4 linked regions of the Lytechinus pictus genome follow. The protein of the gene in region 2 interacts with the protein of the main gene of each other region in a pairwise test. Links are inferred from orthologs where the notes say so. Each region holds a gene or a part of one and is shown on either strand. Other genes may lie near its edges.

Region 1 (6,927 bases), on a different chromosome or scaffold from region 2:
CAATACTCATACACACAGACATAAAAATTAAAACATATAATTGATTTGACATATGTATATTTTTTTAGATACATGTTCACTTCAATTCCTCACTGTTATTTACCACCCCCCCCCCCAAAAAAAAAAAGGTAAATCAATTTTAATAAGAATTCATTTGGAAGCTTTTAAACTCAATCTGCGAAGTTTTGAAACAGGTCACATCTGTCACATGGTCCAAGGGGACCGTTTTATTAATTATGAATGATCAAGGTAACTTTGGTATAATGAGGATGCAAATTAAGCCAAGAAGTGGCCATTCCAGGCCATGGATTTCAACTACTACCATGGAAACCTTCATATATTTTAGCTGCTGAGTCCTGTTACTCTGAAAATACTGATGATCATTGTGTTATGTGATATCTCACATATTCATTGATATATCAATACCTACATATACATGTATGTAATTAATACTTAATCAATTCTTCTGCAGGAAGTATAACAGGAAACTATATGTTTACCAATTCCAACTTTCTTTAGAAAGTATTACTCATTTTTCTTCTAGCTAAACCTCTGATGCACACTCATTTTATGGGTTTCTTATTTACTACATTCCCCCTTCTCACTAAATTGTCCACTCCCCCAATTCAGAATCAAGTTATAACATACAGATTATTATTTAAGGCTGTCCAACAACTGTCTGGCTATAGTCTTGATTTGACTGTGATAAAAAAGGTTCACTTGAGAACTCCAGTCAGATTGGTTTTGAGTTACAAAAGACTTTATGTTTTATACCAAATCAGCTTAGTCTTCTTAGGCGTCGAAATAGCCCAGTCTATTTAGGGTTAATAAGTACATACGAACTGTACATCTCATCTTCCTTCATCTTCATTATAAGGGGGTGTTGCAAGAAAATATTTGCGATCACTTGCAAATATTCTGTTCTAATTTTACAATTGATAGATCAAGTTTAGCTGTAGCAAATCAGATTACACTCTTTTTTTCAGGAAGCAGATTAGCATAGCAATCAATCACAAACTTGTAATTAATTGCAAGACTTATGATTGATTGGGGACCAAAAATTGAATTGCAATTGATCACAAGTTTCTTGCAACACCTCATAAGACTGGTTGAAAGCCAAAGTGCCATTGATCTGACAAATTCATAAAAATAGATTTCTTTTTTAAAAAGGACCCTGGTGTACATACATGTACATTAAAATTTATCTGTAAAAACCTAATTACACACTTGCAAGAAAGATGATTTTCATGCCAAACACTTACAGGATTGAAGGGATGTATTCATAAACCCTCCCATACTCCTTCTGGAAGCTCCAGACATCTTGATTGTTCTAACCACCTATGAAAAAAAAATATAACAGGATCTATGATCATTCATATTTACCAATCAATGGTTAGCACAATTACATATAGGCCTGTGTAATGCCAGAAGAAAGCGAATTTTGAAGACAAACAGATCAGGATCAGCCAGGTTCTTCTTTGATCGCTCGATCACCATCAGCACAGCTGATGACAAGGACATGAGCAAGCAATAACCGTAAGTAACGGTCTATTAACCGCACCTTTTTCTCGGCGGGATAGAAGCAAAAGTCGGGGGTGCGGTTTATCCACGGTGACGGGTCTGAGCCAGCCCGTCGTAACCCCTCTGCCAGTTCACAACACATCGAGTGGCCAGGCGTAGCCGCCCAGGGCAATGTCGTTTAGAGGGGAATGAGCTGTGGGTAATGAGAAGCGATTATAACAAACGCACCCACCTTCATGACACTAATTTCGAATTTATTCTCGGTTCAAAGCAGCGAAGTTCCCTGGCTAAGTTCAAAGAGAAGCCAAGCATACTCGGTAATATTTTGTCACAGCTGATCGAGCGCAAGAGTTGAGTTAGCTGAGCTAGCTTGCATTGTATTGTGGTTTCAGTGCGACTTAAGCTGGCGCTATTCATTTTAACCCTCGATCCCCTCCAAAGTCCCGTTTCGCGCCAGCTTATTTTTTCTTTCCTGTTTGCTTTTCATAAGATACCACCTACACCACGCAACGAGAGAGACGGCACGAAGCCGTCAAAACAACTGTAAAAAATGACAATTTCTTTGTTTCTTGAACCTTCCTGTAATCCCGTATCCAAAATTCATGCCAAGACATCGAATACTAGACAAATTCTGAAAGTGATTGTGAGTTTGTGATGCAAGAAATGTGAATGTTTCTTCCTCCTACGGCGGGAAAGACACAGATCATTATTTGATAAGATGTACTGACACTGGTACCGTATCGTAGTTTGCAATGTACAAGAACGGCAGTGCTGTGTGTGTGTACACCGTGACTGTGTAAGTGGCCAATATTGTAGGGACCTTTCTTTCTTGCAAACATTTGTAGATGAATCAATCAAGAACAGCAGATTTCTGCATACCGGTAATCTCTTTGGATACTTTGAAATCTTTAACTTAGACTTAGTTTTTGTTTCTTCGTACCTCAAATATAATGTGAGGATTTTTTTTTTTTTTTTTTCTTTTTAGTCCAAAGTAGTTGGGGGTGCGGTTTATAGTCCGTTACTTACGGTACTGGTGGGGAAATTTGTTGTTTGAAAGTGGCCGGTGCGAAACTGCATCAGCGCCAGCATGCCATGGCGACCTTCCTTGCACGTTATTTACTAATCGCCGAGCCCGCGACGCAGGGCGCTTTGAACTTCCACGTCTGCATGCGACGCTATGCGGGAAGTGCTGGGGACCAAAGCGGCGACGCGATGCCTTGCTGAACAAAGAAAGCAAAATGGCACAGTAGAAAAAGATTTGTTATTTATAATTTTCATTTTTTACATCATCACACAATAAAATCAAAACAATTTTAGGTTTGCTTAACAATGAATAGAATTACACATATACTTACCTACAGCAAGAACAATATGTTTTCTCCCAAATGTGGAAAAAAAAGAAGTCTTTTACGGCAAGTTTAGTTTTTTCCGGCAGATTCTTCCCCGATGTAGTCTAATTTTCAGACGGCAATTTAGTTTTATTTTCCAAGAAGATCGGAGGATCAAAACAGAGAGGGGGGGGGGGGTTCTTCTTTTTATTTGGCAATCAGTCAATTTGACTATTTTCGCCATCATAAATATTGTATTATTAACGTTATTTTCTTTGATTTTTTTTTTTATAAAGTAATATTCAAATATTTCTTTCTTATTCTTTTTTTTTCTTTTTCTCTTCTTTTTCTTTTCTATTTATTTTTATTATTATTTTTTTTTTATTTTTAGGTTATCTACAAGGATTTAAAGTCGAGAAGGTGTGTCTCAAAAATTAAAACCAGGGCTTTTACTGAAAATATGTTAGATATATAGGTCTACTAGTATGCAAGTAAACCTATAGGATGGAGATGACAGAGAAAAGAAATGAAGAAAATCACAGCTCCAATCCTACACTCGTATACCGGAGTATATAAGCTGTTTCAACTTATCTTTTGGTTTACAGTCCTTTTCAGGACTACATTCAAGAAAGATTACTCTACTCTCAAATTTCCACTTTCTCGCCTATCCATTTCTTTTCTTTTTTCTTTTTTCTTTTTATTTTTTCTTCTTCTATCCACTGTTTCTATAATACTCCACATGGTGTACCGTACGTAAACCACATCAGCGAATATTAATTCTATATAACAAACTACTTAAATTGCCATTTCATGACAATTTATCAAAATTATGGCTCGCGATTTGCGCTCGTATTGATTGTTGAAAATAATTTTATTCACACATGCATCTTATTCATAATTACAAAAGTGCATTAAATGTACAGTTTTCAGGCCATAATATTAACAGATTTCACGCTCTCATTAGGCTTATTAGATTAATAAATAAGATTAATATAATATTAATAATCAAATTAATTGTCCCTTTTTCAGAATGGAATATCGAAAAGTGTCATCTCGCGCTTAGGAGGGAAATAGGAAGGTAGTTATCATTCACATGATGACAGTAATGTTCTCAGAATGTCCCGGTCTTATGTCAAAACTCAAATGATAACAATGAAACACATCAGCTCTTATTTAAAGGAGAATGAAACTCTTGGAGCAAGTTAGCTTTTGTGAAAGCAGCAAAATCAAAGAATAAGATCAACAAAACTTTGAGTAAAATAGGACTAGCAATAAAAGAGTTATGAGCATTTGAATGTCGAGATCACTAATGCTATGGAGATCCTCCCATTGGCAATGCGACCAAGATCTGTGATGTCACACACGTACAACTCTCCCATTTGGACACTGAAAATATACCCCAAAACATCTCTTTTTGCTCATTCTAATCATATGACAAACGATTCATCAATGATATAATGTTGTGAAACCTCTGTACTTGTCATCTCATAAAGAAAACACCTCACCTTGTGATAGACTCTATAAAAGTGAGAATATAAGTGAAATAAGTACTAAAGTAATGAGGGAGTTGTACGTGTGTGATATCACAGATCTTGGTCGCATTGCCGTTGGGAGGATCTACATGGCACTAGTGATCTCAATATTCGAATGCTCATAACTTTCTTATTATTCATTCAATCTTCCTCAAACTTTCAACAATATGTTTCTTTGATTTTTCTCTTTGATATGGATTCAGCTGGTTTCAAGGGTTTCATTCTCCTTTAACAGTGATCCATATCCACCTCACCATTTTTCTACAAAGTGCTTGAAATACAGAGCTTAAATTGACCCTTTTTCAGATCGGAATATCAAATATTTTAAGCTCGCGCTTCGCGCTCGCTTTACTCATCCTTTTCATGATTTACAAAACATGAATAGAGTGTCCCATTTTTAGGTGTAAATGTCTTTTTTTTTTTTTGGTTGAGTTATATACTTATTCTTTTCATGATTACAAAATGTGCTTAGAATTTTTATTCTTCAGGTAGAAAATGTCAAAATTTTCAGCTCGCGCTTCGCGTTCGCATTATTTGATTGTTGAAACAATATTATTATGTAACGTCTTCATAGCTAACTGCAAGCAGCTGTTAACAGATTTTTTTTATCAGATCAAAACGTATATTAATTATTTAGTTGGATACACATCTCGTTTAGGATAAAAAAAAACATAGCCCAGAATGTTTTAATTTTAGGACAAAATATATGAAATGAAAAATAATTTAAAAAAATAGCTCGTGCTTCGCGCTCGCTCTTTTTTAAAAGGTTTATGAGATTATTATATATATATACGTTGATTTATAAGATTAAAGCTTGTGTGACTTTTAGGACTATATACCCCTTCAAAGAAACAAACAAAAATCAACTTCGAGCGGCCGATCGGGGAAAATGTGGCTGAAAAAAATTCCGCCCCCCAATTGGCGAAGGCTGGATCCACCCCTGATACGTCTCAAATAGCCCAGTCCTTTTAGGGTTAAGGGTGTTGTGATAAATTTATGATCAACCGTGACTAGTTTTGTTGTTAAGCAAATTTCATGAGTGAACACAAATTGCACTTAATTTGGGGCAGCATTTCAACTTTATCACGTGGATCTCAGCAATGTGATCATGAGAGTCGGGAGAATATAGGGGATGAGATAGGACTCGAGTGGGAGAAGAGGTTGATGGAAGGGTCAACAGAACATTTAGCCCCCCCCCCTCCCTCTCTCCCGCCCTCACCTCCTGTTGAGAGACTGATTGCTATTACATGTACGCATGAAGTCCAGAGCAGGATGTTGACTTGATGATAAATTCTGAATTGGGGAATCAACCTTACCTATCAATCATTAATTTTTAATCAACAATTAATTAATAAATCAACTCATTCAATGTGCGATGTGATCAACCAAACATTCATTTTTTTTCAATAAATTATTTCATAAATCATCATAATCAGTCAATATCTTGGTAATCATTGGTGAGAGAATGAAAGGAAGTGAGGTACGTTCAACTGAATAGGGACATCATTATCTAAGAATTATGAGTCGCATCTAATATGTTTTGAAGTCGGAAGTAGAAGGGTGGTTAATAGAGACAATAACAGCAAGTTAAGACAGTTCAAGGAAATACAAAGATGTTATCCTTACAATGAGTAAATTAATTAGCACTAATTGGATCATACGTGATCTACAATGCAAAGAGTGAGCAACAGTGGACCGACATGACACTTGATTGATTGATTGATTGATAACGAATTTATTTCATTCCACTTCATTCTCATTCTGAATTTCCAATTTCCCCAATATGATTGTTGGACATCCAGAGATAATTATTTGCTATAAATTTTCCTGGCATTATTATGCTGTTCAGGTTGGCGTAAGGACTGATTCCACTTCCCTTTTCCCCGGGCCTTTTCCTTATACTTCACCCCCCTCTCTTCCTCTTTATCTATATTCCCCTCTCACCTTTTTCCTCTCTACTTCCTAACCTATACCATATACCCTTTCTTTTCCATCAGCCCTTGCTTCCTCATTCTCCCCATCGTAATCTCTTTTCGTTCCAACATTATTTTATCATCATCATCCGTACAGTCCACCAGGTTGGTGTATCATCGTACCGTGTAGAATTAAAAAAAAAAAAAAAAAAATCAGCGCAGTCTTAGCGCAATTGGATTTTCTGCACCTCAGCCTTGAAGCTATAGCTACCGAAGTGCAGTTAACTGTAATGGCAGGGAGAATATTCCACAGTCTAATGGCATCAGGAATAAAAGTTTTCTGATAAGTAACAGTGCGAGCATGTGGGACGTGTAACCTCATCTGATGACCACGAAGCGAAGTGGTCATCAGAAGCATTTATGTATGCCAGACTGTAATATATCATATAATTTGCCGAAGAAAATCACACCTTTTATATATATAAAATATAAATTCAAGATTTAGGTCTTCTTATAAATATATACATATACACATACAGTGCGTATATAAAAAAACGGGACAGTTTTGAAAAGTCTTTAAAAAAATTTGTTTCAAATTATGATATCTATATTTCGATGTTAATAGATGCTCTG
Region 2 (7,493 bases):
TATTGTTGATCAATTTTGACAAGTTATATTTTATTTTTACAACTTTTAAGTGTGCTTATTCATGCTCAATGAAAATCTCAAAATAAAATTCATTTTGGGTACCTTACATGTATTGTTGGTCTTGGGGTGGCAGGTCACAAATGACACTCTTCCGTGATATCATGGAAAGAATTTGATAGCTCACAATAACATCTTTCTCATGTCTGTGTTATCCCTTCATTGTGTATGTATATTTATCATCAAAGAAATAACGCACTGAACAATGAGTCTAATACTTTTAGTGGAAATAAGGACTTTTAGAACACATACTGGCTTATTCAATTGTTAAGAATGAATCAATGTTGCATGTTGAATCGATAAAAAAAAAATCAACAATTTCTACAGCTGTTTATTATACACTGTACATGTAAGTACAATCTTCAACAAGCCAAGAATAAAAGACATCAATGTTACGATCTTACCGAGGGGACTGTTTTCTAGCTTTCTTCGGAGAAGTTGTTGGTTCTCCTGAGACTCCAGTGACCTTGGGTGCTGTTTTGGCTGGGACTGTTAGGGCTGATGGGGGCAGCAGCTTGTAAGATGGTCCACCTAAAAATAGGTAAATGTCAAAAAATATACTTTAATTATGCTTCAAAATTAGGAAATTATATACATGACATTTAATCAGCAATTGTATCAAAATTAACAACCAACAATGCGTAATAGATCTATAACACACTCATAATTTTACAAGACTTCATTCGCATCTATAGAAATGCAACACTTCCCAAAGGGAATTCAATTTTCAAAGAGTAAATTGATATAGAGGGCTTTTAGAGGCAAAAGGCAACTATATGTATGTGTTTTCTAAAAAAGGTTTCAGTCAAAAAAGATTATTCTTTTGGTAAATTATAAAACTTTCCATATTTATACCAAAATGCAATGTGACAAGAAGATATTATTTTGTAACTAGTGTATAGAAATTTTCATTTTGCATACATATACAAGGACAGGGTTGCTCTGCGGCCTTTTTTAAATATATTTTAATGTTTTGTAAATGGTATTTAGCAATTATTTATGGTGAAAGCATATTATGTGTATCTGTGTTAAGGCTGTGTATCAATAAATCTTAATCATTTGATATTGAAGATCCTACTAGCCAAGAGGTTGAATAGGGGCAGCATGCAGCTAGGTTCAGTTCCATCACTTGAGAAGATCTCAATCCATGGAAATAGATTCTACGGTAGATCTATAGACCTTTATGCATATTTCAATTTTTTATTTTGCTCCTGCTCTATTTTGCATCACTTTCATTTCTTGTGGTGCATGGTGATCAATGTCATAATGTTACATTCTTTTCTTAGGAGTACCGGTATCTCATTCTCAGTATCAAAGATACTAGTACAAGGGGAAGATCGGACACTTCGACGATTTTTTGAAATGCTCGATAAATGCTTATGGGGAAGGGCGCCCAACAGCGTTGAGTAAGTAAACCTTCGCTTATCGGCATGCGACTGTGTATAAAACATATGGGGAAAATGAGAGAGGGGAGTTTGGAGAGGGCTCACATGGGAATAATTCCATGTTTTAATAGTACCAAGAAACCTCTGAAATATATTCATCTCAAATTTAAGGGGGAAAAATTGAATGAAAAAATTATAAAATGTAAAAATCGTCTATTTCTTCACCCCTTCACCATTTCTCTCATATGTTTTGTACACAACCATCTCGCGATACAAAAAGGTAGTTACTTACTCAACGCTGTAGGGCGCTCTTCCCGAGCGTTTCATTACACGGTCTATGTACCTTATACTATAGTGAGACCACCACATATCGACCACCTCTTTTGAAACCGACCACCTTGTGCGCATTAAAATTATTACGTATTACAAACGATATGCGCGGGAGAGTAGGCTCAGTTTGACACATCGTATAATATAGACTAATGCAAGGAGATGGCTACAAATTTTGACGCTTTATTATATAAGCGTTGAAGATCGCTATATTTGCCATCTAACTTTAATTATAAATACCATGAGAGAACAGGGGAGCGTTTCATGAAACTAAAGCCTTAAAAAAGGATTTGCCGGAAGTTTTATCCGACAAGTCCCATTTTATCCGACAGTTACCATAGAAACAGAGACTCTCAGCCAATCAGTATTAAGGAAAGATGTCAGATCTGACAACTTGTCAGACAAGAATGTTGATGAAACGCTCCCACTTTTCAGAACTCAAATCTTTCGCCCTGCCCGGCTGCCGGGCCGGGCCGGGGGCCGGGCGGCGGGTCGAGGCTGGGCGCTGGTTTGCTGCTTAACCAGAGCGGCTGCCAACATCCCCACTATGGCACTAAGTCGCTACTCAGTTCACGAACTTTTCAAAAGTTTCTCACATACAACGAGCAAAAACATTCAATAAAAAAAACATCATGAAATATGATGAACTGGTTTATAATGTTGTTACTATACTTACCAACGCCATAGCTAGGGGGTTTCATGAAATGTGCCGGATTTTTCAAAGGTCCCGCCATTATTTTGTTTCAGCTTCATCGCCTTTTCTCATTGATCATCCGACATCAGTCAACGACGAGCGGGCTTAAAATGAAAGTCTAAGAATTATTTGACGGACATCAGACGGAGTTGTTGAACAAGTTGGTGAGGTAAACCATTAAATTTCATTTTATTTAATAAAGTCTATGATTTAAGAACGAATTGGAGTGAATCGATATTCATATTCCCCAAATAATTTGTAAAGAATTCATTGGAAATTAAGCATTGCCCCACGTATTAAAATACGTGTCAGTATTCAAATGATTGTCATCATTGTGAATTGTGCGAGTTTTTGACGAACTCTGAGTCTGAACTTCATCAGTCTTCTTCTTCTTCTTTGTTGTTCTTCCCCTGGTATTCGAGGATCAGCGGCTATTCGCAGGTTGGTTGTTGTGTTGTAGTAATTTCAGTCACAATCTAATCACTCATTCACAATGAACAAGGTTATGTACTATAACTGTTCTTTGACTTTGTTCTCTTTGTGATGAAATGATTAAGGTTAGCAATGCCAATTTTGGGGCTTTGGCTTATTTTCTCTTTTTCTTGGGGACAAATTATGCTTGATTTTTTGACACTGCCAGTTTCCATTACAGCTATCCATCATATAACTTGGCTCTTAAGTAATATTTTTTCTAAATTAAAAATCTAGTTCTAGCCACTGAACTCCAAACGAAGTCTAATCCTTAACATGTTTTACTTAATTTTAAGGCTGAATGAAATTTGAAACCCAACCCTGAAAATCTGAGTCAAATGCAAATTGTACTAGTGCCAGCACTTTACATTCAACTGATATACACTGTTACAATATGTTTGTGGTGAAGTTTGTGGTGATGAAATTCAGAAATATCACATGCAAGAAGGGGAAGATTTTAAGTGATGCTTACTAATATCTGAAATTCAAATTTACTTTTAGGTCATTGTATCTGAATTGTTGTAATTAGTCTATTGACTATTGGACTTTCTTTTCATTTTCCATATTTTCTTAGAAACCCTAGAGGTCAGATGAGCTCAAAATTCATCTAAATCACCTATCCATGCTTCAGGAATATCATGGCCATGATAAAATGGGACGTACTCATACCAAAGAAAACTGGTGACAAGATTCCTGTGGCCTTTGTTCTGCTGGAGCTGATAATTGAGATTTTCTTTGAGTTATATGTAGTATTTCCAACCCTCTTTGAGCCATTTTCCCAGAGTTACAACATCCATTTATCAATCGGCCTCTTCCTCTTCTTCAACTTCATCGGCAACTTCTACCTGAGCATTGCCACTGACTTGACATCGGGACCAAATATCCTCCCGTCGGTTCTAAAACCGGACTGGACTTACTGCCCTACCTGCATGATCAACAGCCCCCCTCGGGCATCCCACTGTTTCATCTGCAACATCTGTGTCCTGAAGCGTGACCACCACTGCCTGTACACCGGAAAATGCGTAGGACACAACAACCAGCGCTACTTCATGATGATGCTGGTGTACTTTGCGCTTGGCGCCCTCTACGCCAACTACCTGAACATTGAGTTCACGTACGAGATGCTCAACAGCCTCAATTGGCGAGTGGTCGTTACGTTCTTCGCTCCCGTCATTGGATGGATCTTTGGATTCACGCAGTCTCTCTCCTTCCTAACTTGCCTCCAGTGTAGCACCTGTGTTATTTGCCTCATGTTATCGTTGGGAATGATTTACTACCATTTAGCGCTCATCCTTCGAGGGCAGACCACCAGAGAATGGCGGAAAGGGATCCGTCGGTACAACCGAGGTTGGTGTCAGAACCTGCTGGACGTCTTCGGGACCAGGTGGTACCTGATTTGGTTGTGGCCGTGGATCTCATCCCCACTGCCAGGGGATGGCATCCATTTTGTGAAGAGAGATAAGAATTTGGAGAATGTGAAAGATATATGACAAACCTGACACATGTTTTCATTTCATTCTACAGTGACAGAAGATCTTTTTAAACTTTAATTCACTTGCAATGATGTTTTTTGTATTGATTAATTACCATTTGTATTTATTACGTACAAATCATATGAAATTGCCTCAATATTCATTGATTTGTCAAATTCCTACTAATAATATCGTGAAATTTCTGTCAACACTACTTAAAATGTATTATGTCACGTTGCAGATATTTTCTGGATTTCAATTATTTGTAAATTATTGAAGATGTAATATCAGCATCTATGTACAATTAACTTTGTGTGCATTTATAGAACTTGGCAAACTATATTGTGCTGCTTTTGCATCCTCATCTCAAATGGGAAGGCATAGATTGCAGAGTTGTAGGCAGAGAGGTGTAAACCAGGATCGGGAAAATGTGAAACTGGTGGTTCATGTAAATACTGGTAAATACCTTCTCAATGTTATGACATTGAAAAGTTGGGATTTTTTTAAAGCAAAGACCCGTATGTAGTTAGAGACAATCATGGGTGTATTAATACATGATGCCATACCATTCAAGTTGGGGGATGAAACAATAGTTCACTTCCCCCCCCCCCCTTCCCCCTTGGTCAATCAATAGGTTCACTGCTTGAATTTACACCAGTGGGACAATGCTTGATATCTCGGCTATTCACACTGCTAAATTATTATTCATTATCAATGTTATCATTTTTTGTTTTTGATATGAAGCCCTCACCTAAATTCAGAGCCATCTTTCGAATAGGATTCCCATATAAAACAGCAGACAAAACAAACAAGGAAACCGCCATTCATGAAAGACACTAGGCTATGCTTTTGTAGGCAGGTTCAAAGGAACAATATATCTTTCTTGGTGACATTCCTTTGTATTATTTTGCCTGCAGATACATCTAGCTATTAGATTAGAATAGATTGGATTTGATTTGATAGCATTTATTCCATTCATTATAAAAAACAAAACGAGGCACATACAAAGTTAACATACATTACATGGGAAAATTGTGAATAATGCAATGATATCATCTGAGAGATGGGAAACAGAGATGGGAAATTCCAGCATGAAAGATGTGTCTCTGACTTTGATTAGATCTCTCATTGTTATCATTAAGTAGTATTATTATTATTATCATCTTCCTAATCATTGTTTACAATTGAATTATCAGTATTTCATATTTGTTTGAATAGTGACATGTAATTGTGCTTCGTTTTGGTTTCCATATATACCTTGGACATAAAACAGTATTCTTGATTTGCAGCTGGCTTATTGAATTTACACAGAATTTAATATTTAGAATGTACCAATATGTTCAGATTTTGATAATTCAGTAGTGATTATACCACGATATTGGAATGTAGACATACATGCAATATTCTTTTTTGCCTCGATTCTGTGTGGTGTCTTATAGAAGTACTCCTTCTCTTGGGGCGTCACGGCATTTGCTCCTGCGACATTTGGTCCAGTCTTATTATCTCAGAGGGCATAGAGTTAGAGTTAGGATTCTAATACATTTTTTGTTCAGAAAATCCAGATTTTATTGTTTGAAATAAAAATCCTCTGAATATAATTTGTTTTGCCCAATTAATTGTGGGCCCGGTAGCCACTGTGCAGCGCCAGATCGATGTTGCTATTAATTTGCCATAACATGCCTCCACTATTAAAGTCAGATGTACTGAAAGGTAAATCAAAATCTCCAACCTTTTGTGCAGATGGTGTAAAGGATCAAGTATGAGGAGCACTATTGTGTCTGCTATACTTATATTCTCCCATACATAATGTCAATTATTTATAAGAGACTTGCCAAAGCTGTTGCAGTTGTACAAGATAAGCAATTATACAAGTATGCTGTTTGTGTAAAAATTTAACAGATTTCTGATATATATTGATAAGTATTGAAAAAAATAATCTAGATTCTAGATTGACGGATGATTAGTTTGGTACATTAGGTAGACAGTTTGTACATTATGTAGGTACCCAGTTGGACAAAGAACAAAAAACAAAATCTGTTAACCTATTAGATTCTTTGGTGCTGCACATACGTTAGTTGAAAATTAGAGGAGGAAAAAAATGATTCTATACAGAATATATGTATATGCAGGAAGAATCCAATTTCCACCAACTTATTAGGATGAAATTTGTGAAAGTAGATTTGTAATGCCATGGTGTGGAGAAGTTTGTATGCAATTAAACCCACCTTATGCAAAATGCAGGGTAAGTTCTTGTTTAGAATAGATGATGGACTCTTGCTTACTACTTTACTGGCAGATAATATGGTATGTACTAAAATAAAAGCAGACATTTCACTTAAATTTTAACATTGTCAGAATTTAAATGCTAGTATATTTATCGATATATACCGTATGTAAAGAGTTGGAGACCTACATGTACAAAATAAATTAAGTCAATATGTTTACTGACCATTTTGACATGAGAATCATAAAGTGAATCATCGTTATACAAAAGTGTTGAATCAAAATCACTTTTTACGCTACTTAGACATCATGAAATATATGGAAATTTCTCTGTAAAACATTAGCATGAACGGAACACAAAATGTAAATTGTAAGTATTATAGAAAAATATGCAATAAGAATTAGATACAGATTTCATTCGACATTAGCACAATGGGATGTGAGCCTAATATTTTTCTTTTTATATGTATTGTTTGATACATTTATGCAATTGCCATAAAAATTAATGAAGACAGTACGATACCACTCACCGAACCTCTCCTTTGATTTATTGCAATTTACTCTAAAATATATATCTCTCAAAGCCGTTTTACTTTTGTATAGATAGTCTTTATATAAAAGCATTTGATCCAATATTACTTTATGCAATGAACATTGGTTGTGCTATTTGTAGGTTAACCCAATGATTATTTCAGTGTAAACATACTGCAGGTGACCCTTCTAAGGTCAAATCTGTTGGCACCCAGGAAATCTGTTTGACCTAGGAGAAATTTGACTTTCAAGATGTAAAATAGACACGTTTTGCTTATTCTGTTCTGCAATGATGCTTCGAGTAAAGCGATTGTTTGACTTCTGGAAGGT
Region 3 (7,759 bases), on a different chromosome or scaffold from region 2:
TGGTAAGGAGCATTTGGAATCTATTTGTCTGCCTTCTCAGAATCATCCACTCCAGCTTGCATCATAAGGTCAGCCACACTCTTCTCAAGGTCATCGATGCGATTTCCCATCTCATCTAGTGAAGATCAGTAGCAGTCAAGGAACCTAATTTCAACCATTTTTTAGTGCAGGAGTTGGTTTTAAGGATGTTAAAGGGGTTGCCTACCCAGAATTTAATAATATCCCACATTTTTATACTGGTGTGCAATTACTGAGAAAAAAATGTTAAAATACTATGGAATGGGGTTCACAATTTCATTATTTTTTAAATAAAAAATTACCAATTATGTTTTGGCAATATTCAGATATATAGAAGCTATATGTAGTATTCAGATCACCTCCTCCTCTTTAACACATAATATCATAAACACTTGACATATTTTAGCCAAAAAACACAAGAAACAAATTATTCTGTGGTTGCAGATATTATATTTAAAAAATAAAAATTTTACATTTTTAACTGAATAAGAAAAAAAAACTAAGATAAAGAAATCAAAGATGTAAATCACAAGCATGTTAGAATAGGACCTGATTGCATCAAAACTTTAAAACTGATATAGATTTTCAATAAATGATATATCTCTTCTCATCAGAATCTAATTGTAGCATGGAGGAGGTAAGGTTGACAACAAAGTAAATTTGAAAGGATATTCCTGCCTATGATGCGATCAGACATTGCTTGAAAGTTGTTCTGCATTTGTTCCAAAAGTTGTTGTACCTGTGCCATGGTAAAAACAATAAATATAAAATGCTCAAGAATAAGACAATGGTCTTATTGTATGATAACTTTAAAATGAAACATTTAAAGTTTCTCTGCTGGCAGTCAAATGTCATCATGTAGCCAGTACTAGTTTATCTTCCACTATTGATTTCAAGAAATTGGAAGGAGAGGGGAATACAATTTTTTAGGTAAAAATTTACGCCCACAATAAGGAATGTTACAAGGTATGTTATGTTATAACAAATAATAATAATAATAAATCAACTGACCCAACTTTCTGATTTTGGGCTCATGAGGGAAATTTTTTTATAGGCCTAAATCTAATATTTAATGGAAACACCTACACCAAATGAATACCAAAGTTCCGGTAATCTGCCTGAAATAAGATTTTATTTGAAATTAAAGTTATTCTATCAGTAGCCAGTTAGACAGAATGAATTAATGCACAAGCCGTTATTATTGCGTACAGAATTTTTCGCGAATCGCGGGGGTCCCGACATTTTCGCGGGTTGTTAAATTCACGATCGGAAGATGTATGAAACACTTCCTCAGCATTTCAAAGAAGCAAAACTTATACAAATCATGTGCAAAACTATGTTCCTCAAAGTACATAAATATGTCCCTGTAAAAACAGTTACAAAATGTGGAAAAAAGTGGCTTAAATTTCACTTTTTTGTACCTTTAGATCTGAAAATTCATCATGTCACAGTTTGATCTGTAAGAGTAATCTTTTGAAGTTGTGTTTTGTTAGAGTCACTTTTTAAAAAGTTGGTTTCAGAACAAAAATGTTGAATTTTGTGAACAGAATCTTACACCGCTAAAAGCTCTGGTCATGTGACTTATGAATATTTATGAGTATGCAAATAGCTGCCAATACATGTGTGTATATTGGAGAATCAGATGACAATAAAATCGAATTATTTCATGGAAAATACATTTCAATATTAAAGTGAGTGAATAAATATCGATAGAATTACGTGAGAAAATAGTTTAGGCTCTGATTTTGTTTGAGAAATATAAAAAAAGTGAAATTCTAGCTAACTTTTTGAATCACTAACTGTACTTTCTAAACCTAATTTTTTGTACATATAGAGGTGCATATCTCACAACTGGGCGTTGAGGCGTGCGCCTGTAATCCAAGCTGTGGGGAAGTTACAAATTGATGCAGAGGTTCGAGGTTCGAGCCCTGGTCACGTCTTTCGGATGGTGACGTTAAAGATCGGTCCCAGACGTAAATAATCATATCTGATTGATATATGTCTGACAAAACTCAAATACACACACACATTATCACCACACAGAATGTTTTCAATAGCAAAGCTTTGCTGTTAGGGATATTGGCACTGACTAATAAATCATTAAATGTGTCAATATTTTTGCGTGTTGTTACATTCGCGGCCGATTGGCAATTCGGGAAATCCGCGAAAATAACATTAAAACTAAAAGCTCATACAGTACATGAAATAGTGAAAAAGGGGCACAGCAGTTTTAAGGGGGAATGGCACCCAGTTTTGATAAATGGGCACAGTCACTGACTGTTATAAAAGACATTAACAGCTGTGAACTTTAAATTAAATATCACTAACGATTTTCACTCTCCGAACGCTTCCTGGCCAATTTCTTCATGCACATTATACCAATGAATAGCAATGACTCATGCATGACTCAACAACATTGTCAATAAATTAAACAATTATCAACCATTGCCAATGGCAATTTTCAATTTCAGTCAAATTACATTTAGTATTTTACAATTACAATTCCATTTTTTTTTTCAATAGAAAGGACTTAGAATCACACATTGATGGTCAGATTAACAAGATAAAGTAAGTCTATGAATAACTAATGTGCTACACCCCGGGATTTGGCTCCCATGCAATTGATATATGTGACTAATCCCTGACTGGAGTTCTCGGCCTATATCACAGAATTGTGATAACCCCCCTTGAAATGTATGCAAAGAAATTGCGATCGCCAGTAATGGCAATGACTTCACGAGCCCTGTATTGTGTGCCAGACCCACCTAGTTTAGAAAAGGTCCCCCCCCCCCCCTTCGATACTCACAAACTGTGTTAAGTCTTGTACATTTTTCCCATCAGCAGGATCTGTAATATCTTGCTTTGTATCAGTCATGTTGAATAGTAAAGCGACGACCTCCCAAAATAGAAGTATTTGACTAATTATATTTGACCCGTAAAATATTTTCAGTCTATCGTGAATTGGTAGTTCGGTATCGATATATATCGCAAATGATAATTTGATGGGATTCCGGGATAGAGATCTGTAAAAAAAATTGAAAGATTTATATATTATTTTAAGTGTTTTGAATACAGTGGGAAAATATCAAATAAATATAATTTGTTTTGTTAATTTTTATTAAATAAAATATGATAAAAATTTATACAATTTGAGGCAATTTATTATAACTTTGTAATAATAATTGTGAAAGTGCCTAGAGACGAAGACGCTGCTGCTAGCTACTGCTGCTATGCTAGCGGTATACCTATGCTAGCTTGCTGAGCCGTGTTACCCAAACTGGAAGAAAAATCACTCAATTCTCTTCGAATGAAAAGTAAGATTAAGTGAAAATATTTGTGTTCGGTAGATGTGTTTATGCAGTAAATTATTAGGCTTAGATTGTAAATGGATTAACCCGAATGTGGGCCGAAGGCAAGCAGCCGGGCCGCGTCCTGCTGCAGTTCATCGCGCCTCATCGAACATTAGTCGCAAAAGCTGCCTGGCCCAGCCGCTAGCCGCCCTAGGCCCACACATGGGTTCATATCATCTCGCGTGCGAAGGAATATCAGTCATAATACATATTGATATTCACGCGACACATAGCCAGGCGGCTTCTAGAGAGTAAAAATCATTTACTAACGTAAGGTCACTCTCATGAAGCCAGGCCTTCTATCCCATAGACCCACACAATGGAAGCCAAAACCTGAAACTTTCACCCCCGAGATTTCTACTTTCCTTCTAAAAGATCTAGGCCTAGCTCTAGTCTAAATCATGTAAGATGGGGGGTTGGGTGTCCGGACACGTAACAGAAATGAAGCCTTGTTTTTATCTCAGGAATAAACCAAAAATATAGGTTGAATAGTTTTTTTTCACCATCAATATTTGTTCTTTATAATATTTTCTTATATTCTGTGCTAAAAAGAATTAAAGACATTGCTTGTAAACTTTTCAAAATTGAGAGTAAAAGTCATGTGTCCGGACACCCAACCCGTCCGGACACACAACCACTGGGTATACATGGGATAAAACTTCATTTCCGACATTTCTACGCTCTCGTTGTTATTTTTAAAACAAGAATTCATCAAAAAAATGAAAAAATATTGTGAAAAGACGGAAGAGACTTGCCCGATGTTTACGTCGCCATCTTGTTTCTTATTGTACTTCCCCAACGTTATGCGACGCTCGCGTCCGTAACGTTGGGGAAGTACAATACATGCATTAAGAAACAAGATGGCGGCGTAAACATCGGGCAAGTCTCTTCCGTCTTTTCATAATATTTTTTCATTTTTTTTATGAATTCTTGTTTTAAAAATAACAACGAGAGCGTAGAAATGTCGGAAATGAAGTTTTATCCCATGTACATGATTTAGAGCTAGATCTTTTAGAAGGAAAGTAGAAATCTCGGGGGTGAAAGTTTCAGGTTTTGGCTTCCATTGTGTGGGTCTATGGGATAGAAGGCCTGGCTTCATGAGAGTGACCTTACGTTAGTAAATGATTTTTACTCTCTAGAAGCCGCCTGGCTAGCGACACACACGACACATCCAAAACATACTGGGGCCTGTTGCATGAAGAGATGAGCGATACGTAGGAACGTCCTAGGACCATTCTTCTGAGATAGGAAGATTGGCGACAAATCAGCGCTTTCCGTTTCACGAAGGCAATTTTGTCTTCCAAGTCCGCGACATCGTTTGAATTGATATCGATAGTATCGGAAAAATATTTAGTCTTCATCGTCACCTGAACCTTTTATTTCGGAATGACGACTTTTCATAAAATCAGATATTTCAATAAAAGGAGATCAAATAATGTTTTATTTATTAGTGAAATATTACTCATTGTAGAATTGATGTATGGAGCTTACTTTATCATGAGGTAAAAAGAGAAAAATCTTTCAAGATTCACAAATGTAACTGGATAAAATCGAAATTTTCATTATTTCCCTTATTTAGAACACGGTGTCCTTTTAGAGACACCTTTCATTGATATTTCAACAAAAGAGACCCTTGTCCGACATACAAATTGATTTAACTAAGTCTAAGTAATTTCGACATTTTATTAGTTCAATATTCTGTATTTTTATAGAATACATAGGCCTAGGCCTATATATATTGATGATTTTGCAAATTATGCGTTAATATGTTATATGTTGAGGTAAAAGTAGGGTTTAAATGGAGTAAACAAAATCAACAGTGTCTGATTGTATGAGACTAAAAAGGAAAATATGAGAGGCTGCCTGTGAAAAATCTAATTTATTTATTTTTTGTCAGATATAAAGCAAAAAATACAAATGTGAGTGTTTAGAGTATAAACATACCTCAGTTGCATGATGGGTAACCGAAGACAAGGAAAATGTGAAAATTGCTGCAAACATGTCCAAGTGGATAAAGTAGTGCTTTGCAATTAAAACAGAAAAAGGTGTGCAATCCGCAATGGAAAAAATACTATTTACAGAAATAATGCTGAATATTACAATGATCATAAACGTTGGTCATCTTTAAAGTTGATCACTTAATCTATGGAAGTATATATAAGAATATAAAAATATATATATGTTCATCATTTCAAAGTTGAGGAGTAGAGACTACATTATTGCTTTAACATTACATAGGGGCCGAAAAGGGCCTACGTACCCTACGATTTAAAATGCGCCTCTTCGTATGGACTTTCCATAATCTTTTCTTTAATGAACTAGCTTATCTTCATTTGTAATAATTGTGATGGATTCGTAAGCTATAGGCCTAATCTGTATCTTAAATTCAATAAGCTATTTTGTTACTGCAGATTTTTTGTTTTGTTTCACTGTTTCACATCTCAAGTTATCCCAAATCCGACAATAATTTTCATTGATTAAAATTAATCTCAGCAAAAAAAAGATAATTATAATGAAAACGAAATAAAAATAAATGAATGATTTACCATATGTTTAACATTTTAGTTTTGTATCGTGTTTTTTTTTTTGCTGAACGTTATAAACACTTTTTACCTTACATAATTTCTTTTAAAGAAATTTGTTTTCATATTGTTTAATTATCTATAATGAGAAAGCATGAGGGGTCAGGGAGATAGTGCCGTCCATTTCGATATTTCAAAAAAAATTAATGGAAATGGTGTGGGGATAGGACGGAGGGAGAATAAAAGAAAACATATTAAAAAAAATATTTGCGCCTACATTACCCCCGGACATAATGCCCGTAGAAGTTAAAATGACATTTGTTTTTGGTCGTCTTGCCGTGAAAATGTCTTAGATGAAAGATTTCTCAATCATCCAGAGGTACGCAATTACTTAAGTTATTTATATTTCCCTGGCAATGGAAACCATGAAACTGTAAATTTTGCTTAAAAACAGTTTTAAATCGCGACCTATAAAAATGTTAGTTCAGTATACCACTGTCTATACATACGGGCCAACAACTCTTCAGTCTATGTATTGGTGAGTGAAGCCAACGTAGTTCAGCGGAACAACCAAAATACAGAGACTGAAGCTTTTGGTTTGGTAAATGGGATACCATTTCATTTCCGACATTTCTACACTATCGCAGCGCGCGACACTGGCACTGGTCCGACGGTCCCAGACGGGTAAAAATTGCTGTTGGGCCAGTAACTTTTCAGAAAAAGCCAGATTTGCTGGTCCGACATGACCAGTAAGATTATACATCTAACTGATACAAAATATATTTTCTTCTCTTTTGTAAAAATAAAAATGGCTCTGGCGTCTCAAAAATTGGCTCTCATGAATCATGTTGTGTGTGTACTGTTTTTTTTGTGGGGGGAGGGGTAACAATAAGCAATAAAAGACAGCAAAATAAAGTCAAGTCTTTTTTATATTTTTCTTTATTTTTGGGGACCAGTACTTCAACCAGTAAAAAATGGAAAAACTGGGTGTGTGCTGGTCCGACATGATCAGGTCGGACCAGTAGAAAAAAGGGTTAGTGTGGAGCCCTGGCTATCGATTTCATTTTTAAACAAGAATTCATTAAAAAAATGAGAAAAATATTATGAAAAGACGGGGGAGACTTGCCCGAATGTTTACGCCGCCATCTTGTTTCTCATTGTTGATCGCTAACGTTATACGGACGCCGCGTCCGTAATGAATTCTTGTTTAAAAATGAAATCGTTAGCGTAGAAATGTCGGAAATGAAGTTGTATACCATCTAGATGATCTAGGGCTAGATCTTTTAGAAGGAAAGTAGAAATCTCGGGGGCGAAAGTTTGAGGGGTTTTTTTGGCGGTATATATAGATAAATGCAATAGAATCCCTGGCTCTGTGGAGAGTAAGCATCAATAGTAAATGATTTTTACTCTCTAGGAGCCTCCTGGCTAACGTTAACTTAGTTGGGGCCTGTTGCTTCTTCTTCTTTCTTCTTCCTCCGCTGATCCCAGAGATCTACAGCTGGTTGCTTCAGTTCATGACATTGTTGAGTAAACTAATAGTAAAAAAACTAATATAGAGCACAAAACAATTTAGAAAGCTCTTAATTTGTCATGAAAAATACATAAAAATAAATCCTCAAGTCCTAAAACATGAAATTACTTAAAAGTTACAGAAATTCCATAACTTCTGAAAAAGTGCCAGTAGCAAAATAGATCATTTTTATATAGGCTTATGTCAAAAAAATACATAGGGCCTAGGTCTAGAAGAAATTGTTCCTCGCTTTGCTGTACTTTGCATGGATGCGTGCAGGCATGTAAAGTGACGTAATATACATATTTTGTGTGTAAACATCCAGTCGCACATCAGCGAAAATCCATGAACCTCGCCAT
Region 4 (7,470 bases), on a different chromosome or scaffold from region 2:
TTATTTCATACATGTGTGAATAATATGTCTCCCTTATAATGAAATAAGTTGCAGCAATAAATATCTAATGCACTAAATCAGTTGTCAATCCAATTTTTGTAGTTTTTGGAGGACAAAATTTGAATAAACCTAATTTCATATAATAAAATACAAAAGAACAAGTGGGGATGTGACATCATCAGCCCAACTAATGAATATTCATGACGACTGTTTTCACAAAATATTGCTAAACTTTAAAATTCAATAAATTTATTATTTGTTATCCGATTTTGATGAAATTTTCGGCCTGGACCATCCCTTTAAGGGGGTCAATTCAGGAAATCCTTGTCAAAAGTACCGTTTTGTTTCCAATACTTGTTAAGGGTAGGGTTTCACAGACCAATACTTGTTAAGGGGTGCATTTTCAGAACATGGAAAATACTTATTTGGGGTGCTTTTCGAAACCCCATGGTCACGCATGTTATCCACTCGTCGATGGAAGTGCCCCCCCCCCCCCCCCCCCCGGGCGCTAAAACAAGTTTAACGAAGCAAAGCTATCTTCAAAACTACATCGCGAGGTGGTTTTCTGAACCGGTTTGGAAGATCGCTTCCAAGACCGCTTCGACCGTTCTCATTACACCTTAAACTAGTTTCCAGTAAACTAGTTTTAGGACGGTAGTGAAAACGGTGTCTAAATCCCAGGGCCCCGTCTTACCAGAGTTGCGACTGATTCGATCAACCTCAACTATATGAAAATCCATCATTGTCACAATTTTTCCTATCAGAAATTTTCAAGACGTCCTTCGTAAACAAGGAGGAAGCACAACAAATTGTCAAGACAACGATGAATGTATATGGGTATCTAGGAAATATTTTGAACAAACATGCATTTTAGATATGGGCGTTGTTGGCTTTCCATAGTTGTGGTTGATTGGATCAATCGCAACTCTTTGTAATACGGGGTCCATGAATGTTTTATACCTTTAATGTTATCCTACTTTCGTTTTGCTGTGAACATTGTAAACGTACATTAATCTGAGCTAATCTATCTATTTGCCAAATGTTATTACTTGGTGTTAATCAATTTTATCAAGGCTATTGTTGCTTTGCACTTCAACATAATTCATGTTTCACCAAATGTCATCAAGAAATTCATAAAGGAATTGTATTATTATTTCACCCCCCCCCCTTCTTATTGTCCAGTCTGTCCGGACTTCATACCGATATGACCAAGCTGAGTTATCAGGCGATGGATAATATTAAGTTGACCTTCACGTCAGATAACTCTGTTGTTCAAGACGGCTTTGTAGCCAAGATTAAAGCAGTGAAGATATAATTGACAACAAGTGAAAGACGGAGGTACCTTCATGACTGAAAGGACGGCACTCCATACATTTCCTATTTTCTGTGGATGGGGGTTCTTTTCTTTTCTTCCTATAAACTTGATAAGTTTTATTGATGATGATGACGAGGATTATGATAATAAATAAGAAGAAGAGTGATGATTGATAACAATAATAATGATAACTATAATAATAATAACAATATTCAATCTGGCTTGATTGAATTTATCACTTTTGGAGGTACTGAGACCAAGGGGTCTTTGTCTCGGGTTTGACTCCCGGCATGGCACTCTTGTCCTAAGGCAACGCCTTTTTATCTAAGTTGATCGCACATTAAATAAATGGAGATTCTAAATGTATTTTGAAAGAAACGTGTGCACGTGTTAAAAAAATCCGAAAGTGAGAGCTACGACTTTCTAAACTTCTTTAAACCTAAGTATACAAACCAGCAATATTTTTTTCTGTTTCAGACATCAACTTCTTAATTTCGCCCGTAAACGAAGAAAAATATATTGCACATCGAATTGACTCAGATTCAGAGACATTATTTTGAATATAAAGAAAAAAATTGCATATCATTCATATAGCAATATTAAATTTTATTTGTTCCTATATAGGTGATCTATATCTAATTATATTGATACAATGTTTGTAATAATGGGTTTCTTTTCTTGTGGAATAAAATAACAAGTATCATGCACCGATGTTGTCTACCCTAGATATTCTGTTATGTGTTTATTGAGAGATGTGGTGGCGAACAACGACGGGCACGACTGGTATGTAAAGATCTGTTGTTTTGTGTCTGCTTGTCTGGTATCTTTCAAGTTATTGCAATTGATTTTTTTTTAAGTGAGTTGTTGATAGGAAGATTATTAATTTATAGTTTTCGGTGAATCTTCGGTTGGTCGGTTAATTATATTTTGTTTAAAAACATGATTGATTGATTGGTTGTTTAGATTAATTGATTGATTGATTGATTGATTGATTGACTGATTGATTGATTGATTGATTGATTGATTGATTGATTGATTGATTGATTGACTGATTGATTGATTGAGTGAGTGATTGAGTGAGTGAGTGAGTGAGTGATTAGTTGGTTGGTTGGCTGAGTGAGTGAGTGGGTAGGTGAGTGATTATAGTGTTTAGTTTGTTAGTTTATTTGTTATTTGGAACATTTGGTCGGTCAGTTGGCCGGTTTGGTATCTATATAGATGAGTGAGTCAGACAGTGGTACGTGGGATTGGTGGATATTTGATGGGTTGGTTGGGTGGGGTGAGTGCACTTGGATGATATAGTTTGTTGGCCGGTTGGGTGAGTGTACTTGGCTTGTCGGTTATTTGTGGATGAGTGACAGTCCAATGGCGTACCGTGGGTTACATTTATTTGCAATGGAACATTTTTTCGCGAACTTACCCAGCGAGTTACACTTTAAGACCGAGTACCGTTTAAGACCGTAACAATCCTTCATATTCCCGATGATTCTTTTTATTTTATTTTATTTTTTTTTTTTTTTGGGGGGGGGGCTGATTTCCAGTCGTAAATCACCCGGGGCAGACTACCCTTGCCCCTCCCCCGGCTGCCGCACTCGGAATGAGTCGGGGTATCAAGTTTCAATTGTTTAAAGATCCTTCCAAAACCCCAAAGGAGTCACAGGATACATACACCAATACAATGATTACATGAATAAGATACAGTTTTATCAAAGCCCTAAAGGACAAGTCCACCCCTCAAAAAAAAAAATTTGAATAAAAAGAGTAAAATCCATCAAGCATAATACTGAAAATTTCATCAAAATCAGGGATATAAAATAAAGGAAGTTATTATATTCCAAAGTTTCGCTTAATTTCACAAAACGGTTATATGCACATCCATGGTCGGCATGAAAATGAGGGGATTAATGACATCACTCACTCACTATTTTATTTGTATTTCATTATATGAAATATGGAATATTTAAATTTTCTCTTTATTGTCATGTGAAACAAAATCTATTCCTCCCCGAACATGTGGAACTACCATTTTTTAAATCATTTAGCGGTTAAATAGTCAAGTTGGTATATATTGTCAAACCTGTATAAATTGAAATATTGTATAATTCAAACAATAAGAAACAAAAGAAATAGTGAGCGAGCGGGACATTGACTCTCTAATTTGCCAATCACTGAGTTGTGCATATCACCGATCACTGTTTTGTGAAAAATAAGTGAAACTTTAAAATGCTGTATAGGCCTACTTTTTTAAATTTTACTTCCGATTTTGATGATTTTTTTTCAGCATTAGGCTAGTCTGAATTTACTCTATTTATTCAAATTAACATTTTTCTGGGATGGACTTGATCTTTAAGCAAATTAGGGAATGTAAACTTGGCAAATGTGAACATGAGTATGAATATGAACATGAGTTTAACGTACATTAAATGGGAAATACTATAACAAATGAAACAATAAAAGTACAAACATTAAAATGCAACATCAAGAGAAAACAGTTTGGCGAAAATAGTTTGACACCAGTGTGCATGGTGGAGTCAGCCAAGCTTTTCATGACATCAGATGGAAAAAAAAAGAGGGTGTGCATTTTTAGGCATGTTAGGACAATGTCGAAGAGAGAAGATCTTTATGGTTTACATTTTATAATAAGTCGATAAAGTCAATTAAAGACTTAACAAAAGTCACCACCAATCCCTGATTTACATAAAGAACATAACCCTGTGTCAGTCTCTTTCGGAGTTGTCATATTTACCAATTACAATGGTAGGTCTTGTGCTCCCTGTTCTAAATTCACATAAATGATGCCAAAGAGCGGGTGGGAGTTTAATCAGATTATTTTCCGAGTAGTTTTTAAAAATTCGATATTTCCAGGATGCGTTGGAATTTTGGATATCTTACTGACTCGAGGACCAGTTTTGGCGGAATTGATTATTAAGTCTTAAAATAATGGTGACTTTTATTTTTAAGTCAGTTTAAGTTTTTGGTGAACCTTACGAAAGAAAAGCCACTATGATCTAAAATATTGTGTACATCATTTAAGTCTACTTAACATAAAATGATGGATGTTAAAGTCAGTGACTAGGAATAATCCTACTCGAGCAAGTAACTGCATAAATGGGAACCAACCCAAGTCACCATAAATCATATAAGATGGATTTTTTTTTTTTTTAACGCGCAAAATGTACTTACAAAATTTCAGATGGAGTTTTTTTAATCAGAAAAGTATTTTTAGAAATCGTCACCCAATCACTGATGTGCACAATTCGCAAGTTCATCAAATAGTGATCCACAAACACTCACGGATGCTAGATGACTGTTCGCAAAAGTGACGAGGATGCGATGGAGATTGGTGATTGGTGAAGCTGATATAGCATGCAGAAAACGCTACTTCATTTCTATCGTACGGGGAACCATGGACGGACACTGTTTCGGCTGCGCTTCAAAGTTTGGATTTTTCACCAGAGAGGTAAGTTTGAAAATGTGAAATTGTGGGCATGATCAAACTCCAAATTGACGTTGTTAGAAGATTCTGAATAAAACAACGTTGGGCACGAAAGTGTCGAAACATACCTACATAGTTTCAGCAATTCACCATTTCAGGTCAATTATCCATATGTCCCACATACAGTTTTCTGCGTAAGTTCATGTATGAAAAACTATGTCTGATTGTTTTTATGATTGGAACCACTCCTAGTCCTAGTACCCATGAGGTCCAAACATTAACATGTATGGACCTCAGTCAAAGTCAAAGTTGGCGGTAGGATGGGGGGTCGGGTGTCCGGACACTTTATATTTTTGAAGCCTTCTTTTTTGTCTTTGAATTACACTAAAAATATGAATTCAATAGTTGTAATCATTTTCTATTTTGTTCTCTATAATATTTTCTAAAATTTTGTACTAAAATTTGATGAAACTTCGCTTGTAATTTTTTCCAAATGACTTTCTAAAATTGATCGTCCGGACACACAACCTGTCCGGACACACAACAACTGGGTATAATAGTCAAATATGACTGGTCGCCACTCGCCATTAATTTCCAACAAACAACAACAATCAACATAGGCGACATTACCCAAATTATGGGTTGGACAGTCATCACCCATGCCCATGGCTACCGGCTACATCTCTGCCGCCGACTACAGAATAATTGAAGGCACGGCGCATTCAACAAATAACGTTATTTTCCGAAAAATGAATACGAGGACTTACAGAATGAAGTCCTCCTACGAAACTTACCAAACGATGTGAAGTCAATTCCTCAATCCTCATAATTTGATGAATATCCCTCAAAATGCGTCATTTAAGAAGCGTTGATTTTTCTTCGCGTTGACAAAATACGAAAGTCACCTTTCTAGCTCTCAAATTTTTTGTCTAATGAGCGAAAGAGGGCGCGCGATTTATCTTCATATCAAAGACACTACAAGGGAAAGACTAGACACAAAAATTATCTTACACGTAAATCGATGCAAAGCGTTACGCAAAGTTGGCAAAGTGTTCAATCTTTTTACTGTAATTTTTGTAAAGACTTTGGTGGAACGTTAATTGACAAACGACTGGTAGCACTTGCGGGGCTTTGTTCAAGGTACATAGAATTTTCTATATTTTTTGTTTAATTTGTCATCGTTTTGAATATTTTCCAAAAAGTATAATCGTCAGCAAAAATAATAAAAAAGTATGTTTTTTAAGTTATTGCATTTATTGGGGTCTCTATTTTATCAAACAATTATTGGAATTGCGCATACAATGAATCATGAATCTAGTTTTAAAAAAACCACCAAGCTGAATTAAGGTTGTGAACTGTATTAGCGCCACCAACGACCTCCTTTTTATTTCCGTGGAAGAGACGTGCGAAGCCACTTTCCAGGCAGAGGTAAGCGATTTTGCTCTTTTTTGTGTCCTTTTAAATTAAAAAAATATGTTAAAAATTGAAAATGGAACGCTTTATACCATAAAAAGCCCTGGTGAGTAGCGGAATGGGTTTCGGCTAACATCATTCATGTTATGAAGCGATGTTAACAACAACTCTAAAATCCACTACAAAAACACGATGGTTGTGCGAGGTTCGTATAGAATATACTAACCTCGCAATAGTGTGAGTGGACAGTCATAGTCTTGAGGACTCCATGACCATGATGATGTCTTTAAAAAAAAAATTGACATATACTTCTTCATCATTGGAGTCTTGAATCCCCTCACATATCACCCATGGGTACATTACTGCCGCAGTGCACAGGATAACCACTGGCACAGCACTTGCAATAAGTATATGCCTATTTTGTTAAAATTAGAAATTGATCTATATTTTAAATCAAGTAAGCTTTGGTCTTTGGAAATGAAACTTACCAAACGATATGAAGCCAATTTCATTTCCTCTAGATCTTTCTGGTACCTTATATCGATGATTTTTCTTGATGTCGAAGCAGGCATGGAGCTAATTCGCTGGTTTTCTCTATACGCACAGAGAGGGTGCGCGATATTATTTAATAAACTTGCTTGTTTACGTCAGATCAGCTGTACTGCTGGTTGCGTTCTAGGCGCTCCGCATTTTTTTCCCTCTGTTTTTTTTTCGCTGTTCAGCATTATTTTATGATGTAGCGCCATCAGCGATTATGAAATGTAAAAGCATGGTACAATTTCCTATCATGCGCCGACGGCTTGAATCTAGACTGTTCGATAGGAAAAATTCGCATTTTGATTGTTGTTTGCGTAATTTCCACCGCAGTATTAAGGATCGGACGGAGTATCTTGGCTGAGATTTGGAGGTAAGCGTTTAAATCCCTTTTTATAGATACGTTCGAGCACATTTTTAAAATTAAATTAGATGATAAGATTTAGATGAATAAATTTAGTATATTCTGAAGATTTTGGCGTGTTTCATTCTCTCACATTCGTGTGATGAATGAAAACGTCAAAATTCATCATGAAATGACATGCGTTGTGCGAGGTTAGTACAACTAACCTCGCATGCTTGTGTGAGTGCTCCCATAGTATATGCATAAGAGAGACATGTAAACAAAGATGGATTTCCCTAGGAATCCATCTTTTTTATTAAAAATCATGTAAATGATCGTGATTTTATTATTCTCCACACCTTCCTACGCCTAATGCATGAGAAGGTTTAAAGAAATATTCAATTAAAATGTGAAAAAATAAAGGTTTCT

The links.
Region 1: the proteins of coiled-coil alpha-helical rod protein 1-like (region 2) and SWI/SNF-related matrix-associated actin-dependent regulator of chromatin subfamily E member 1-like interact in binary tests that used the Homo sapiens proteins (3 or more experiments, as listed by UniProt). The link is inferred for Lytechinus pictus from reciprocal best matches to the Homo sapiens genes CCHCR1 and SMARCE1.
Region 3: the proteins of coiled-coil alpha-helical rod protein 1-like (region 2) and heat shock factor-binding protein 1-like interact in binary tests that used the Homo sapiens proteins (3 or more experiments, as listed by UniProt). The link is inferred for Lytechinus pictus from reciprocal best matches to the Homo sapiens genes CCHCR1 and HSBP1.
Region 4: the proteins of coiled-coil alpha-helical rod protein 1-like (region 2) and abscission/NoCut checkpoint regulator-like interact in binary tests that used the Homo sapiens proteins (3 or more experiments, as listed by UniProt). The link is inferred for Lytechinus pictus from reciprocal best matches to the Homo sapiens genes CCHCR1 and ZFYVE19.

The regions. Positions count from the first base shown.
Region 1 is NC_087247.1:14,971,882-14,978,808, reverse strand, and holds the start of SWI/SNF-related matrix-associated actin-dependent regulator of chromatin subfamily E member 1-like, read right to left. Parts: upstream 3,002-6,927; 5' UTR 2,877-3,001; intron 1,339-2,876; 5' UTR 1,321-1,338; coding exon 1,263-1,320; intron 1-1,262. UniProt on the Homo sapiens protein: Involved in transcriptional activation and repression of select genes by chromatin remodeling (alteration of DNA-nucleosome topology).
Region 2 is NC_087259.1:8,053,546-8,061,038, forward strand, and holds the start of coiled-coil alpha-helical rod protein 1-like, read right to left. Parts: upstream 3,027-7,493; 5' UTR 2,507-3,026; coding exon 2,449-2,506; intron 589-2,448; coding exon 462-588; intron 1-461. Other genes in the region: probable palmitoyltransferase ZDHHC24, read left to right, coding at 3,576-4,427. UniProt on the Homo sapiens protein: May be a regulator of keratinocyte proliferation or differentiation.
Region 3 is NC_087246.1:49,267,095-49,274,853, forward strand, and holds the start of heat shock factor-binding protein 1-like, read right to left. Parts: upstream 3,027-7,759; 5' UTR 2,894-3,026; coding exon 2,825-2,893; intron 758-2,824; coding exon 691-757; intron 119-690; coding exon 21-118; 3' UTR 1-20. UniProt on the Homo sapiens protein: Negative regulator of the heat shock response. Negatively affects HSF1 DNA-binding activity. May have a role in the suppression of the activation of the stress response during the aging process.
Region 4 is NC_087251.1:11,212,178-11,219,647, forward strand, and holds the start of abscission/NoCut checkpoint regulator-like, read left to right. Parts: upstream 1-4,452; 5' UTR 4,453-4,643; coding exon 4,644-4,775; intron 4,776-7,470. Other genes in the region: blastula protease 10-like, read left to right, coding at 1,183-1,315. UniProt on the Homo sapiens protein: Key regulator of abscission step in cytokinesis: part of the cytokinesis checkpoint, a process required to delay abscission to prevent both premature resolution of intercellular chromosome bridges and accumulation of DNA damage.